Linked DNA regions of Caenorhabditis elegans. The protein of the gene in region 1 interacts with the protein of each later gene in a pairwise test. Each region holds a gene or a part of one and is shown in the gene's direction. Other genes may lie near its edges. The genes, in order: sec-16A.1, csn-4 and uaf-1.

Region 1 (7,334 bases):
TTCATGTAAGATTTATTTTTTTAAACACAAGTTTAAAACTGAAAATAATTTCAGAACCACATTCGAATGATGACTTTGCGAGATTCATATGAAAATTCGGGTACACGAAAAGCTTCAGAACTTCAATTTTTCGAGAAATACCCAGAAAGTAACATTCTGAAGATTAGTGTGAACATGGTGTCTAAGCCATGGACAGTGCTTGTACCTAGATACAATCCCCCCTTCTATTGTAAGCCTGCGGAAGATTTTCCATCAGATGTGCAAAAGTATGTTGATATTGCCACGGAGCAAAATGTTGGAGAACTAAAACGAATTTGGAGAAGCCGTCAGGCAAATGATGTTACTAGTAGTAATGATAAATGTTGGAAGCTCTCAGCTGCCGGCTTCCCATTGAATCCGAATGGTCGAACTGGAATGGCTGGAAGAGGAAATCATCCGAGATTTGGTGCTAATCGACGTTGTTATTATGTCGTTTTGAGTGGTGGAGTTGAAGCGAAATGTCAAGTTCTAGTTGATAGTCAGAAGAATATTCCAAATGAATGGCATCTGGAGAACTCGTCGAAAGATGAACATCTGACATCTATTTTGAAGATGATTGGAATTTCAGATTCTGACGCTCATGTAAGTAACCAAAAAGATTACTTTTAAAAATTTGTGATGTATTTTCAGATGTTTTCAATGCGACGTTTGGATAGCTCAATTATCACTGCGGACAAAAGAATACCATCCAATGACACGAGTCCTGCTCATTTGGCTTCAGAAGTTGCAGAAAATGAAAACGATACAGACAACGCGTGGACGGAGCATGATGTTTGGGCTATTTCTCTCCGAGAACGACGTATAATAACCACAATTATCGGTTATTCGTGGCTTCCTACGAGTGCAATTCGTGGAACAGTGCTTCCATGGCAAGCAGATCTTGTTTTCCGAGCAAAGACAATATACGGGTTATAATGCTACAACTTTCATAAATTATGAATTCACTTAAATTGTTATTCGATGTTTGTTTTTTAAAGCTGATAGCTAAGAGATAATTTAATAAAGCTTGGAAGAATAAAAATAAAGCACTCACCAAAACACATATAATGAGAGGCCTAACAAAAAATGTAGGGGTACTGTAGCAGTTTTGAAACAAATTTTTCTAAATATTGTAGAGCGATTGTTGGTTAGGTTTGCGGAGTGTTGTGCAGTAAAACTGTAAGAACTGTCGCGAATGCGGAGAACCAAGAATACTTCTCCTTGTCGCCACTTTATTACTTAATATTATTTCCTTTAATTTAACACAATTATTATGTATATTCATTAATTAATTATCGTCATCTTCCTTGTTTTTCCCGTTATTTTTGGTCCGTTTAGGTGTGACACGGAGATAAAAGATACCTTAGCAAAATAAGTTCTTTTCGTGAAAAAACAAATCTTCGTATTTATTAAACAACTTTGTTTCTGTTAACAAATAAATAAATCCTTGCTTTCGATTTTACGATTTTGTGGCTACGGTACACAATGTTCACTCCGCAAGCACCGAAACTGACGACAGTTTTTCTATCAGTTATTTTTTTCATTCAACCTCGAACTTTTTTCGCGTTTATTCATTTCTCGCGTGAACTTTTTGTCTTATTTTATTTTTAAGCTTGGCTTCACGTGGCACCGCGCTTTTAACACATCCGTGCGGCGTTTTGAATTGAACTTTAAATTGGAAATTCCCAAAAACCCACGATTTTTATGGATTTCGAATGGAAAATGCGGCGATACAGGGTAAGATTTCCCAAAATTGTAATTTTAAATCTTAAGGCCATTAAGAAAACAAGTAAAAACCGAATTTATTTTACCATTTGGAAGAATAAAAAACAAAATTCATATCATTTTCCCATTCACTTTCACCTGTTCGTATCACTTCCAACAAAGGAAAACTGAACTATTCTTGTTTTCAATTTTCCCATTTTCCCATATTCCCCACAGCAGCCCTTTCCGTGCATTTTTGCGTCGCCGTGTTGGCACTAAAGTGACACGGTTGACCTCAATTTGCCCCTTCTTTTCTTTTCTTCCCTTGTCTTCTGCCTCTCTATATTTACCCAACAGACTTTAACATCTCGACACTTAACTTGTATATTCGCCTAATTTATTACAGATCGATTCTATGAAGTATGAACAACGAATGAATGCCGGAGGTATGATAAAATTCGATTTATCAACAATTTTTATCAATCACTATTCATTTTCAGCTTCTGGTTTCGATATGAGTGACTGGAATAATCCTTACAATGCTTCACCTCCGTCTTCTAGAGGAGGCGATGATGACGCTTCATCCGTTAACCATTCAAGGTCAGTGAATACAAGAATTTCACACGCCGATCGATATCTTTTCATCGCTTTTTTTTCAGGCCTCGACGCAGTCGGCTGGACAACGATATTCCACAACCAAGAAGACCCATTCTTATTCAACCAGCTCGCCCAGTATCTCAAAAGAGTAACCGGCAGGGTACTGGAATGAGTAATGGTTCAAGAGGCCTCAACTCAACTTTCAATGGATATGACCGTACTTATTCAAGGTTTAAAACAAGGGAGTTTCTTCTTCTAATTATGGAAATTTGCAGATATCACCAAAACTCTTCACGTGGCCCAAGCGAAGGTTTCTCTGGTGCTCCTTCAGCTCGAAATGCATCTGGATATGCGAGTGATTACGCGAATAGTCGTGCTGGTGTGGGATTGCTGCCGAACAACCACCGTGAGCCTGTGAGACCACGATCAACTGCTGCTGAAAGATATGCGAACGCATCTTCAATGAGAAATGGTTTTGTATATGATAGTGGAGAGTCTGATAAGACTTCAGAAGAGCTGGAAGAAGACGAAGAAGAGGAAGAAGTACGAAATTTTTATATGGAAGGACGAGCACAAGGCTCCAGGAGTGTAACAAATACCCTTGCCTCTGAAGTTTATAATAGCGAAAGTGAAAGCTATTACTACGGAGTTGTGAAACTTGGCTCTGCTATTGTTGATCATGTGTTCCGAACGATGCCTCCTCCGGAAAAATACTATAAGATGCCGCCAATCGACCGTGTCGCTTATGTATTCTACTGTGCCGTTAATAACAAACCTTACAACAATATTGATGAGTTTCACGTAATTTTTAATCGTGAATTCTACTCCTACCGCGGGTATGGTGATTCTAAAGATCTGGCACTTTTTAAGGTAAGATTACTGACAAAATTGAATTGCTTCATATTTTAAATTACAGGTTTGCAAGCGGATGCAAGAAGAATTCTCCCTGAAGCAACTGGAAGCCGACAGATTGGCGTACGAAAAAGCACGACAAGAAGCTGCAGAGAGCGAGAAACTGGATTTCAATCAGTGAGTATGGAACCAACGGTACAATGAGCAAAAATATTATTATAGGCATAAAATCGAGGAACGCGAAGAGCCAAAACTTAACATCTCGCAACCCGAAGAAGTGTTGAGCAACGGACCACTTCATTATCACTCCTGCCTTCAGTTTGCTACCATTGGTGTTGGAGGAAAATTGGTGATCATTAAACCAGCGGGAACCATCGATAGTATCACTGGACATGTTCTAAGTACATCCAGCGTTCATGTGGATGATCTGAAAACATTTCTTCATTTCGATGAACAATCTGGAAAAGTGATCGAATCAGTTCAGAACTTTAAAGGACCACTGATTGCTGGACAAACTCCAACTCATTCCGTTCGTCTCTACATCCAACGACAAATCGACGCTCTTCGCCAGATCAGAAATGCTGGTGACGTAAAGAAAAGTGAGGTGGTGGATGCTCTTCTCGTCTGGCAATTGCTCGAAATCATGGTTCAGCAACATGGAGTAAGAATTGTTTTAATTTGAGAACTTAGTAGGAATTTAACATTTTAAGAGAGTCACCGGACCCGATGTAGCAACACTGCTGACAAATGCCTCGGAAGAACTTGGTGAAAAAACTGGAATTTCAAGCAATGGGACATCCGAGTCTGGTTCGAAGTTCGAAGCAAAGGAGCGGTTCAATAAGTATCTTCTTGGTGGTCACATTAATGTAATTTTGTCTAATCTTGTTAATTAAATAATTATAATTTTTCAGGAAGCTGTTGAAAGTGCTATAACCGATGGACTCTATGCCGACGCAATGACATTGATCCGTAGACTGCATCCAAATGACGCTAAGAAAATTGAGGAAATCGAGGCACGATTTATGAATCTTCGTTCCATTGACGATCCATTCGCAACACTGGTTGCAGTTTCAAGTGATCAACCACCTCCGATTCTGACGAATTCGGCGTTCGATGATGACAACAATTGGAAACGACATGCGGCCATTGTTCTTGCGAATCTAAACTCGCAGACCGCTATGCAAACGGTACGGCAGGAGAAAAGCAAAACTAAAACTGTAAAATTTTTTTCAGATCTATCATCTCGGCTTGCTCCTAGCAAAAAGAGAACGAAACTGTGCTGCTGATTTCTGTCTCCTTGTTGTATGCATTCTGGCTGGTTATGATCCATTTATTCCAGTGGCTCACGACGGAGATGAAACTTCGAGAAAGCACATCGGCCTTGTGCATAGTGGATCTAACTTGTTGAATCGAGTTGATGGACTATCAGGAACCGCTGGGTAAGATTACTTAACACAATATGCATAACATAAAACATGCTTTTCAGATTCTCATTCACTGATCTTCATGCTACTGATATTTTTGATTATGCTCTCCGACTGGGAAATAACAATGTCGATTCACCACTAGCAAAATCGATTGATTATCAGTTAGCTCGTATTGAATACGCAAAGAAGCTGTCGTCTTTTGGTGGATTTGCTACGGATGCGTTCAGATATTGTACAGAAGTAGCAAGATCGTTGTGGATGTATGTCGCAGCTTTCGATAAAAATGCAATGTTTGATCTTTGCGATCTGGCTGAGAGTCTTCAATACATGGCTGCCGCAACTCCTGATGAAAGTGGTTGGATTACAACTATGAGAGGAATGCTAGGTGCAGCTCCAGTTCAAGAATCTCAACAACATGTTCCACAGCCACAACCAGTGGAAAACAAATCTATTTCGTCTGAAGCTAAAAAATGGCATGATGAGCATCAAGCGCCGCTGGAGATTGGATCACGTAACGATCAACAACATAACGATAAAACTGTCGAGAAACCAATTGCACCCGGACGTGCTTCTTTGCCTCCACCTACCCTGGTTACTGAATCGTCATCTGAATCGACATTTACAGATAAATCCGATTCTTCGGTTACTGTCGCTGCGTCAGCATCAAGAACTTCAACGTTGACCTCATCCACTTTACCACCACCACCATCCCTTCCAAAAACTATCGAAAAACCAATCTCAACACCACCACCAATTTCTAAAAATGTTGTTCCTGAGATGACGCCTCCAGCGATTGTGAAGCCACCGATGCCAACGTTATCGATGCCTATTCCACCTGTCAGTACTCCAATCATGGTATCACCTCAACCTATTCCTATTCCGAAACCTGTTGACGCCAGCATTGCAAAAAGTCCTCGTTCGGAACTGGATGATTTATGGGACACTTCACCGCCAAGCAATCAAACTTCATATCCACCTGCACCGCGAAATATTCAACCATCTTATTCGCCTGCACCTAACTTTGCAAACCCAACAGCTCCAAGTGTACCAACACCACCACCAGCCGTTTCTTCTGCTCCGGTTCTTCAACAAGCAACACTAGGACAAGCATCTATTCCAAATGCTAAAACTGTGAGTTTTCTGTGAAACCTTCAGAATGACAAGTAATTATTTTTAATTATTAAAGACTGCGCCGCCTGTCCCACAGAAACAACCTGAACTTGCATTGAATGAACGAAAAGCATCTAAAGGATGGTTCGGATCGATTAAGGAAAAAGTCATCAAATCGATTCCATCAGCAAACCAAATGATCCTGCCTGACGATTCAAAGCCAAGTGTATGTTAATTTGAAAGCCGATTTTTTGAATATCAAATATTCATTTGTTCAGATCGTTTGGGATCCTGTTCAGAAAAGATATGTTGGTGCTGGAGTAGAAGAAGAGGTCGTAGCTGCTCCACCGCCAGTCATGTCAGCTCCTCATTTGATGGGTGGAGGTCCTGATTCTAACAAATCGAGCACGAATAGTCTGCGAAGTGCTAGAAGTGGAGTTGGATCACGATATCTTCAATCGGGAATGGCCACTAGCCAAGCACCAGCTATGGACACTGGAATGCCACCGATGATGCCTCCAACCATGCCAATGTCATTCAGCTTTATGCCTGCACCCACTGAAGGTATAATTAATTGAGAATTAGTTTTTTCTTCAATTAATTTCATTTTCAGATGATTCCTCCGAATATGTTGATCCATTCAGCGGTGAACCAACGGCTCCTTCCGAATCATTATCCAAACAGAATAACGATTAATATGCTTCAATTCTTCCAAATTATATGTGTTGTCGTCCCCATCGCCTTTTGTATCCCCCTCCCACCCACTATCATTCTTTCAAATAACCATTTCCTGTTATCTGGTCAGGCCCGTTTCCTCTAAAAACTTCTGTGATTATTCCATAGTATCTTCCTTCTTTTTTGTTGTGCAACTATATATGTTACGGTTTTATCTGAAAAATAAGTAGGCTAGTTTTTCTTTGTTCTGACGAGAAAATATGTGCTCTGAATTGATTCTCTGGTAAATAAATATATACTGAAATGAATAAATATAATGTACCGTGAAATCACTATTTGAATTTTACATTTGAAATCGAATTAAAAACAAAACAAAAAACTAATCGAATACCATTATTTCGCAAATTCGAAAATGTATCAACTGGACGTGAGTTTTCTCTTAATATTTCTGATTGATGTTCGAATATTTAAAGTCTTGGTACTCAGTGCTCTTCGAGCTTCTTCTCGTCGGTTTTTCTCTCTACAACTCGCTCAGAATGACTACTTGGTGGGATACCGTAGCCAGTAGGTCACAATTATTTTCAGGCAGTTTCCAGAAAAAAGATTTTCAGAAGGAGCATCTATCGCAGTGAATGGAGCAGCGAAACATTCACCTTCGGTCGCTGATCACTACGGTATTCGTACTGATAAAAATAGTGTTAGAAGCTATAGAAAGAGTAGCGTCGTGAGTTTTATTGAGACTAATTGAATAAATGTGTATATTTCCAAAATTTCAGAGATCACCAATTACGTTCGAAATGGGAGATGGGATTGAAGTAGCTCACTGATGGATCGTAATTTATTGGAAAAATGACGTTCAGAATAAATTTGATATTGATTAATTTTTGTCCACATTCTAGTAGGCCAGGCAGGCGAGGCGTGCGAGGACGCCTCAGGCAAGCACAAAGAAGA
Region 2 (4,911 bases), on another chromosome or scaffold:
AATTTTCGGTTTAAAATCTGACAATTTAGGTCGAAAAATGACTGGAAAACTTTAATTTTTGACTGAAAATTCAAAATTTTCTGCTGAAATTTACCGAAAACATTTCTAACTGAAAATTTGAATTTTCACCGGAATTCCGCTGTTTCTGCTGAAAATCTAACAATTTCGGCTGAAATTCGCCGAAAACCTAAATTTTCCACTGTAAATCCAATAATTTAGGTCGAAAAATGGCCGAAAAACTTGAATTTTACCTGAAAATGTGCATTTTTGACTGAAAATGTGACCGGAAACATCAATTTTCTTTTGTTTTGCTTCACTTTTTTAAAGTTTTCTTCAGTTTTTGCATTAAAATAACTGATTTTTCACAGCTGGAAACCCTCACAAAACCCGGAATTTTCGCTAAAAATAGGCAATTTTCAGTCAAAAGTCAACTGAAATTCTTCCAAAAAACGTCAAAATTTCCAAAAAAAATCCCCCAATTCCAGACAACACATTCAATTTTTGCTAAAAATTCCAAAAAAAAATATCAGCAAACTGACAGAAAATTTTCAAGTTTTAATCAAAATTGGCCAATTTTCCTTTTGAAAAACCTCAACTTTTCGGTTCAAGCTCAGAAAATTAGCTGAAAATCCGAAATTTTCAACTGAAATTTCTTTAAATCAACTCAAAAATGCAAAAAATTGAATGAAAAAATCGAAAACTCAGCCAAAAATCGGCCATTTTCAACTCTGAAAAATGCCAAATTTTCAGGTAAAAATTCCTCAAAACCCCCCGAAATTTTGGCTAAAAATGTCAATTTCCAGCGCATAAAACTTGTAAATTTTCAATCAAAATTCTGAAAAATCCCGAATTTTAAACTAAAATTCCTTCTTTTTTTTCAGAAACAATGGACGCCGTCGTCAACAACATTTTCGACCTCTACGCTGGAAAACGACTGGCAATTAAGCTCGCCACAGACGCCGCCAGCACAATTCTCAAAGTTGATCAGATTATTATGTCAAAGCAGGCGACTGGAGGACCAAAACCACGTGGACCAAAGGCTCAAGATGAGGATGACGATGGAATGGCCTAATTTTTTTGTGTGCATTTTTGCTGAAAAATTGGGGAAATTTGAGTGAAAATGAGCTGAAAATCGATTTTTCAGCGAAATTTTAGACAATTTTCCCCCACTTTTTCAGATTTTCCCCTCGAATTTCCCCGCCGTTTCCCTGGGAATTGAGCTGAAATTGCAATTATCTTGAAAATTCGCTTAACAGTTTTTAGCTCATTTTCCACCATTTTTCCCCGTATTTTTTAAATTTTCCCGCTCTATATGCCTTCTCCGTATGATTTTTTGCAATTTCCCCGTTTTTATTGATTTTCGCTGGAAAATGAGCTGAAAATTCGATTTTTGCTTAAAAATTAATTTTTTTTTTTTAACGCGAAAATTCAGTTCCAAATTTACTCGATTTTGGTCAAATTTAGCTAAAAATTTGCATTTTTCAGCCAAAATTTTCCAGTTTTTGCCAGAAAATGGGCTTAAAATTGTCATTTTCTTCTGAAAAATCGAACTTTTGCCCCATTTTCAGCCGAATTTCAGCCTTTTTCCTCCAATTCTCCATAATTTTTAATGCTATCCCCCAACCCGTTCTGAATCTGAAAATCACAGTTTATGATCTTAAAATTGCGCCTTAAATTCTATAATTTTCAGCTTTTCCCCCTCGAAATTTTGTTTTTTTTTCTCGTTTTTTGCTTCACGTTGTGTTTGTTATAAAATTCTCCAAAAAAATCACAAAAAATTAGAAATTTTAAAGAAAAAATAGTCGAATTTCCTATATTTTTATCTGAAAATTCCCCCCAAAATTTTGTTGTAAAATTTCCACAATTTCAGCTGAAAATGAGCGGCGAAATTGAACGTTCACAGGAGGTGGCGGTCATTTTTGCACAGGATACCGATCACAAGGCTCAATATGAAGCGTAATATTTTTGGATTTTTGAGAAAATTTGGAGCTAAAAATGTGAAAATCTGGAAATTTTTAGCAAAAAATCCCAAATTTTTGTATTTTTCATTGGAAAATCTGAATTTTGTAAATTTTCAGCTGAAAAAATATGAAAAAAAAAAAACGATTTTAGCTATGTAGAAATTTTGAAAAAAAAACGAATTTTCACGCAAAAACATTTCCTAATTTAAAAAATTAGTAAAATTCGCGAAAAATTGAAATTTTTATCTTTTTTTTCCAGAAAATCTGAAATTTTCAAATTTTTATACTTAAAATCTGAAAAATTCTATTTAAAAACTCAAGTTTTCATTTATTTTCTACGAATTTTGAAATGAAAAATTCTTACAAATCCCGCACTTTTTTCGTTCAAAAATTGGAAAAAAACTAATTATTAGCTAAAAAATTTCCAATTTTTGTATCAAAAAACTCGAAAATTCTCAAATTAAAAAAATTTTTTAATTTTTTTGCTGAAAATCACGCTAAAAATTTCAGCTTTTTCACGTAAAATGTGATTTTCTGAAATTTCATGTAATTTTTTAGCTAAAAAGCCGAAATTTTCTCGATTTTCAGACAAAAAATTCCCCGATTTTTGCAGATTGGCGAAGCTTTGCAACAAATATTTGCCACAAAATGCGATGGGACGAGTCGATACGGCGGAAATTATTAAAATCATTGATACAGGTTGGAACACGACGAAAATTTCGGATTTTTCAGTGGGAATCTGGCTAAAAATTACGAAAAATGATGAGTTTTGGTGAAAAAATGGACGAAAATCGCTCAAAATTGGACAATTTGGTTGGAATCTGGCTGAAAATCGATAAATCTCGATAAAAATTGACGGAAAACGAGAACATTTTCGGAATTCCTGTTGAAATTTAGCTGGAAATAAATAAATTACATTGAAAAAAATTTTTTTTTGAATTTTTGGAGCTGAAAATTGGCAGAAAATCCGATTTTTTCAGGAAAAATCTTTAAAAATTTACATTTTTTTTTACAAAATGGACTCAAAATTAGCTTAAATCGCTCAAAAAAGGCTGAAAATTCCATATTTTAAGTGAAATATTTTAAGTGAAAAATATGGAATTTTCAGCCTTTTTCGAGCGATTTAAGCTAATTTTGAGTCCATTTTGTAAAAAAAAATGTAAATTTTTAAAGATTTTTCCTGAAAAAATCGGATTTTCTGCCAATATTCAGCTCCAAATCCAAAAAAAAAAATTTTTCAATGTAATTTATGAATTTTCACAAAAATCCAATTTTTCGTTCGTTTTCTGCAGTTTTGTTTTTTTTTTTTGAAAAGTTAAAAATTTCCTTTAAAAAACGCGAAATTTCCAATTTTTCACGGTAAATGTGATTTTCAGCCAGTAGTTTTCAACCGTTTTTTCGCGGGAAAAATTGAATTTCTAAAGATTTTCCTCGAACAATTCGATTTTTCCGGTATAAAAAGCGACCTTTTACCGATTTTTCACAGAAAATTCAGATTTTGAGCCTTTTTCACCCTCAGAAGCCAAAAAAAACCCCCAAAAATTGGATTTTTCTTGAAAAATTTGAATTAAGAAACTCAAATTTTCAAACCGTTTTTCCACGGAAAAAGTGCGTTTTTCAACGATTTTTCTCGAAAATTCTCAATGTTCTGCGTTTTTAAGCGATTTTCAGCTGATTTTTCACGAAAAAATCGAGTTTTCAGGGATTTTGATATATTTTTCTTGAAAAAATCGGATTTTCAGCTGTTTTTTCCACGGAAAAAGTGATTATTTAACTTTTTTTCCAGAATAATTGGATTTTCAGCCAATTTTAGGCTTAAAATAGGGCCTTTTAACGAAAAATGTGACTTTTAGGACATTTTTCAATTTTTCGCATAAAATTAAATAAAAATGGAATTTTTTTACCATTTTTTTTTCAAATTTTCAGGTTCAAAATAAAGCTTTAAAAAAGTGGAAATTTCTAGTTTTTAGGCTTAAAATAGGCTTCTTAGACGAAGATTTTCAAGCTTTTCGTTAAAAAAAACAGGAAAAAATTAATATTTGTATAAAAAAATTGAATTATCAGCTAAAAATTACAATTTTTGCACTGTTTCAGTGCAAAATTTGTATTTCTTTTAGAATTTTTAGCAGCCTATAACCCCAAAAATGTTTGCAGTAATCGCATTGGAGACTGGAAGTATGGTTGTATCACGTCAATTTGTATCACTTATCACTGAAAGATTGGATAATCAACATTTGGAATCAGAATGTGTTAAGGCTATTTCAGAAGGAATTTTGGCGATTATTAAGACTCGAACCATCTCTTATGAGGATCAGGTACTTGGAAATGCACTGCAACTTTTTCCTCACGAGGGACGAGGAACAGTGGTTTCTAGGCCATGGCCGAGGGGCCGACAAGTTTCAGCGGCCATTTATCTTGCTTTGTTTTCCGCCTGTTTTCTTTCGTTTTTCACAGCTTTTTCCCGTTTTTTCTTATTAAAACTGATAAATAAATATTTTTTGCAGATGATAAAACAATTTCGAAGTAAAAAAATTATGTATTCAGTGGGCAAGCAGCGGTGAAAGTGGGCATTGTAATATGATGGATTACGGGAATACAAAACCTAAATTTTTTCTGAAACATGATACATATGATGCTTAGATGCTGAAGCTACCTGATTTTCATATCAAGACCGCTGAAAAAGTTTTGAGGTTTCCAAAATTCAACTTTTTGTGCGAAAATCTCGACTTTTTCACCAAAAAAGTTGAATTGTGGAAATCTCAAAACTTTTTCAGCGGTCTCGTTATGAAAATCAGGTAATTTCAGCATCTAAGCATCATATGTATCATGTTTCAGAAAAAGGTTAGGTTTTGTATTCCCGTAATCCATCATATTGCATTGACCACTTTCACCGCTGCTTGCCCACTGAATACATAATTTTTTTACTTGGAAATTGTTTTAGCATCTGCAA
Region 3 (4,704 bases), 8.1 Mb from region 1:
TATTGGATTTTTGTGTTATTTTTTCTCTCGTTTTCAGCGATTTTCAGCATATCTTCATCGATTTTTTGCAGATTTTCAGCTATTTTTTTATCGATTTTTTTGGGAGATTTTTGTCATTTTTCACCTAATTTTATTGATTTTCAGCCTAATTTTGTGTGTGCTTTTACCCATTTTTCTATTATTTCCATCATTTTCCCCGAAATTTTATAGATTCTACCTATTTTTCAGCAAAATCTCATTTTTCAGCGATTTTTCATCATTTAAGCTATTTTTTATCGATTTTCACCGAATTTTCAGCTATTTTATCAGAAAAATCTCAGTTTTTTCCGGCAAATTCACTCAAATTTCGCCTATTTTAGCGAGGAGCTCTTTTTTCCAGCATTTTCACCGAATTTTCTTTTTTTTTCGTAAAAAAATCACCAAATTTCCTCATTTCCAACCTATTTTCTCCATTTTTTCGCGGTTTTTCCCGAATTTTAAACAATTTTTCGCCAAAAAACCCCAAATTTCTTCATTTCCAACCTTTTTATTCCATATTTTCGCCATTTTCTCGGGATTTTCAGCTATTTTTTCCAGAAAAACTCCTATTTTTTCGGCAAATTCACTCAAATACCGTTTATTTTCTCACAATTTATCGTTTTGGAGCTATTTTTCCAGCATTTTCACCGAATTTTAAGCAATTTTTTAAAAAATCACCAAATTTCCTCATTTTCGTCCAATTTTCTCCATTTTTTCGCGATTTTGAGCAATTTTTTCCAGAAAAACTCCAAATTTTCTCACTTTCACCCTATTTTTTTCCATATTTTCGCCATTTTGTCGGGTTTTTCAGCTATTTTTTCAGAAAAACCTCCATTTTTTCGCGATTTCCACCGAATTTTCAACGATTTTTCCAAAAAATCGCCAAATTTCCTCATTTTCGCCCAATTGTCTCCATTTTTCCGCGGTTTTCCCCTGATTTTCGGCTATTTTTTTTTTCAGAGAAACTCATTTTTTCGCGATTTCCACCGAATTTTCAGCTATTTTTCCATTAAAAAAACCCATTTTTTCGTGAATTTCTCCGAATTTTCGGTTTTTTTTTTCAGAAAATTCGGAAAAATTGGAATTTTTCACTGAAAACTCTGAAAAATTCAATAAAAATTGGATATTTTTACTAAAAACTCGGGAAAATTCGTGAAAATTGCCGTTTTTCACGTGAAAATTCGAGAAAAATTGAAAAATGTGGAATTAGTATCCAAAAATGCTCTCGGAGCCCAAAATTCAGGAAAATCCTGAAAAAATTAACCAATTTTACTCAGAAAACTGCAAAATTTTTTTTTCAGTTTTTCTCGCAAAAATGTGCTAAACTCTCAGATTAAAATTCAATTTTCCGTGGCAAATGTGCTCTATCGGTGATTTTGGTGTGAAAATTCCAAACTTTTGCATTAGAAATTACAAAATTTTGGAATTTTCCACCCGAAATTGCTCACAGGAGCACATTTGACCACTTTCCCGGGGAACCTCTGCCCAAATTTTCAAATTTTTCCATCCATTTTCTCCGGATTTTCAGCTCTATTTTTTAAAGAAAATTCCCAATTTTCCAGATGAGTGATCACCAGGATGGCATGAAACTTGAAGATATTGAACGCCAATTTTTGGACGTTGCTCAACGTGAAGGAGGTCTCGAAGCGATTCAGCCGACCACTGGACCACTGGAAAATGAAGAAAATCTGAAATCATCGACTGGTGGTGGTGGTGGAGAGGATGATAATGATCGGAAAAAGAGAAAACGATCGAGAAGTAGAGATCGCGATACGAGAAGACGCTCGAGAAGGTGCTTAAGCTGGAAAAAATTGCATTTTTTGACGGAATATTCGAGAATTTTCGTGGAAAACTCGGCGAAAATCGAGTTTTCCGCTAGAAAATTGACCCAAAATCGGATTTTTAGGAGGAAATTTTGTTTTTTTTTGGCCAGAATTACGCTGAAAATCGCTTTTTGCATGAAAAACGGCTTAAAAATGACTTCAAACCCAGAAAATCAACATTTTTAGAGCAAAAATTCGAGGATTTTCGTCGAAAACTCTGCGAAAATCGAGTTTTCCGCTAGAAAATGGTCTAAATTTGAAGAAAATTGACCCAAAATCGGATTTTCAGAGCGAAATTTGATGATTTTCCATGAAAAACACTACCGAAAATCCCATTTTTCCTGCCAAAAAACTCTTTAAAAAATCGATTTTTGCTTGAAGAAATCCACCAAAATTTTCATTTTCTTTGCCAAAAATCTATGAAAAATCGATTTTTTCACAGGAAAAGCGGAAAAGATGCAATTTTAGCTGAAAATCCACCGAAAATTCGCATTTTTTACTTTGAAAAATCGCAAAAAATCGATTTTTCCTTCCAAAAACCTCCAAAAAATTGCAATTTTAGCTGAATTTCCACGGAAAAGTCAAATTTTCTGTCCAAAAGTTTGCAAAAATTCGATTTTCAGTTGGAAAATTGCGTTTTTTGGTCAAATTCCACCGAAAATTCCCATTTTTTAACCTAAAAAGTTGTAAAATATCGATTTTTCCTGCCGAAAACCCCGAAATTTTCAGTCGTGGAAGCGAGAAATCGCAATTTTAGCTAAATTTCCCACGAAAATTCCCATTTTTTTAACCTAAAAAGTAACGATAAAATCCATTTTCCTGTTCAAAAACTCGCCAAAAATAGATTTTTTAATTAAATTCCACCAAAAAAATTCGCATTTTTCCGCCCAAAAACCTCCAAAAAGTCCCAATTTTAGCTGAATTTCCATTGAAAAGTCTAATTTTCTGTCCAAAAAACCGCAAAAAATCGATTTTCCAGTGGAAAATTGCGTTCTTTGGTCAAATTTTACCTAAAAATTTTGAATTTTTACAATAAAAAGTGGCGGTTTTTACTCAAATTGTACTGAAAAACGCAATAAGAATGGTTTTTCTGTCCAAAAATTTGCGAAAAATCCATCTTTCCGCCCAAAAACCTTCAAAAAATCGCAATTTTAGCTGAGTTTCCACGGAAAAGTCAAATTTTCTGTCCAAAAGTTGGCGAAAAATCGAATTTCCAGTGGAAAATTGCGAAAATTTACATTTTTAACTTAAAAAATCGATTTTTCCTTCCAAAAACCTGCGCGAATCTGACAAAAATTGCAATTTTTCTGCATGAAAACTCATTTTTCTAGCCAAAAAAGTGCGCAAAAATCGATTTTTCCCCTGGAAAATTGCGATTTTAGCTGAAAATCACTGAAAATCCGCATTTTTTAACCTAAAAAATCGCAAAAAATCGATTTTTCCCGCCAAAAACCTGCGAAGCTGCCAAAAATTGCAATTTTTCTGCATGAAAACTCATTTTTCTAGCCAAAAAATCGCGAGAAAATCGATTTTTCCCGCCAAAAACCTGCGAAACTGCCAAAAATTGCAATTTTTCTGCATGAAAACTCATTTTTCTAGCCAAAAAATCGCGAAAAAATCGATTTTTCCCGCCAAAAACCTGCGAAACTGCCAAAAATTGCAATTTTTCTAGCCAAAAAATTGCAAAAAAAATCGATTTTTACACTGGAAAATTGCGATTTTAGCTGAAAGTCACTGAAAATCCGCATTTTTTAACCTAAAAAATCGCAAAAAAATCGATTTTTCCCGGCAAAAAACCCCAAAAACCCCCCATTTTCAGTCGTGATCGTGGAGAACGTCGTGGTGGTGGAGGTGGAGGTGATCGTGATCGTTCTCGATCCCGTGAACGTCGTCGAGGCGGTGGTGGTCGTGATGAGCCGAGACGTCGTGGAGGTGATGATGAAGCCCGTTCGCGCCGTGAGCCGGAGCCCCAGAAGCCTCGTGAGCCCAAAAAGTACCGATTCTGGGATGTTCCGCCGACTGGATTCGAGACAACTACACCGATGGAGTACAAGAATATGCAGGCGGCTGGACAGGTTCCACGTGGATCTGTACAGTCTGCAGTGCCCGTTGTTGGTACGGAAAAATGGAATTTTTCGCCTGACAATTCGGAAAAATTCGAGAAAATTGGCGGTTTTTGCCTGAAAATTCGGAAAAATTCGAGAAAATTGGCAGTTTTCACTGAAAATTCGGAAAAATTCGAGAAAATTGGCAGTTTTCACTGAAAATTCGGAAAAATTCGAGAAAATTGGCAGTTTTCACTGAAAATTCGGAAAAATTCGAGAAAATTGGCAGTTTTCACTGAAAATTCGGAAAAATTCGAGAAAATTGGCAGTTTTTGCCTGAAAATTCGGAAAAATTCGAGAAAATTGGCAGTTTTCACTGAAAATTCGGAAAAATTCGAGAAAATTGGCAGTTTTCACTGAAAATTCGAGAAAATTCGATTTTTTCACTGAAAATTCGGAAAAATTCGAATTTTTCATCGAAAATTCGGAAAAATTCGAATTTTTCATCGAAAATTCAATAAAAATTGGATATTTTTACTAAAAACTCGGGAAAATTCGTGAAAATTGCCGTTTTTCACGTGAAAATTCGGGAAAATTTGAATTTTTCACTGAAAAATCGGAAAAATTGGATTTTTTACTGAAAATTCGGAAAAATTGGATTTTTTCACTGAAAACTCTGAAAAATTCAATAAAAATTGGATATTTTTACTAAAAACTCGGGAAAATTCGTGAAAATTGCCGTTTTTCACGTGAAAATTCGGGAAAATTTGAATTTTTCACTGAAAAATCGGAAAAATTGGATTTTTTACTGAAAATTC

The links.
Region 2: the proteins of sec-16A.1 (region 1) and csn-4 interact in a two-hybrid assay, tested with the Caenorhabditis elegans proteins (one large-scale study listed by BioGRID).
Region 3: the proteins of sec-16A.1 (region 1) and uaf-1 interact in a two-hybrid assay, tested with the Caenorhabditis elegans proteins (one large-scale study listed by BioGRID).

What each region holds. Positions count from the first base shown.
Region 1 is NC_003281.10:9,124,099-9,131,432, forward strand, and holds sec-16A.1 (Protein transport protein sec-16A.1), read left to right. Parts: upstream 1-1,740; coding exon 1,741-1,755; intron 1,756-2,128; coding exon 2,129-2,168; intron 2,169-2,222; coding exon 2,223-2,322; intron 2,323-2,381; coding exon 2,382-2,549; intron 2,550-2,594; coding exon 2,595-3,189; intron 3,190-3,235; coding exon 3,236-3,348; intron 3,349-3,393; coding exon 3,394-3,832; intron 3,833-3,881; coding exon 3,882-4,037; intron 4,038-4,082; coding exon 4,083-4,358; intron 4,359-4,404; coding exon 4,405-4,610; intron 4,611-4,657; coding exon 4,658-5,729; intron 5,730-5,784; coding exon 5,785-5,934; intron 5,935-5,986; coding exon 5,987-6,272; intron 6,273-6,321; coding exon 6,322-6,404; 3' UTR 6,405-6,709; downstream 6,710-7,334. Other genes in the region: Protein ced-11, read left to right, coding at 1-5, 55-621, 670-954; ZK512.10 (DUF4752 family protein), read left to right, coding at 6,796-6,810, 6,857-6,947, 6,995-7,107, 7,160-7,210. UniProt on the Caenorhabditis elegans protein: Plays a role in the organization of the endoplasmic reticulum exit sites (ERES), also known as transitional endoplasmic reticulum (tER).
Region 2 is NC_003282.8:1,083,973-1,088,883, reverse strand, and holds the start of csn-4 (COP9 signalosome complex subunit 4), read left to right. Parts: upstream 1-1,870; 5' UTR 1,871-1,876; coding exon 1,877-1,956; intron 1,957-2,574; coding exon 2,575-2,660; intron 2,661-4,115; coding exon 4,116-4,276; intron 4,277-4,911. Other genes in the region: cct-8 (T-complex protein 1 subunit theta), read left to right, coding at 882-1,072. UniProt on the Caenorhabditis elegans protein: Component of the COP9 signalosome complex (CSN), a complex involved in various cellular and developmental processes.
Region 3 is NC_003281.10:1,073,432-1,078,135, reverse strand, and holds the start of uaf-1 (Splicing factor U2AF 65 kDa subunit), read left to right. Parts: upstream 1-1,580; coding exon 1,581-1,810; intron 1,811-3,660; coding exon 3,661-3,956; intron 3,957-4,704. UniProt on the Caenorhabditis elegans protein: Necessary for the splicing of pre-mRNA. Binds to the polypyrimidine tract of introns early during spliceosome assembly.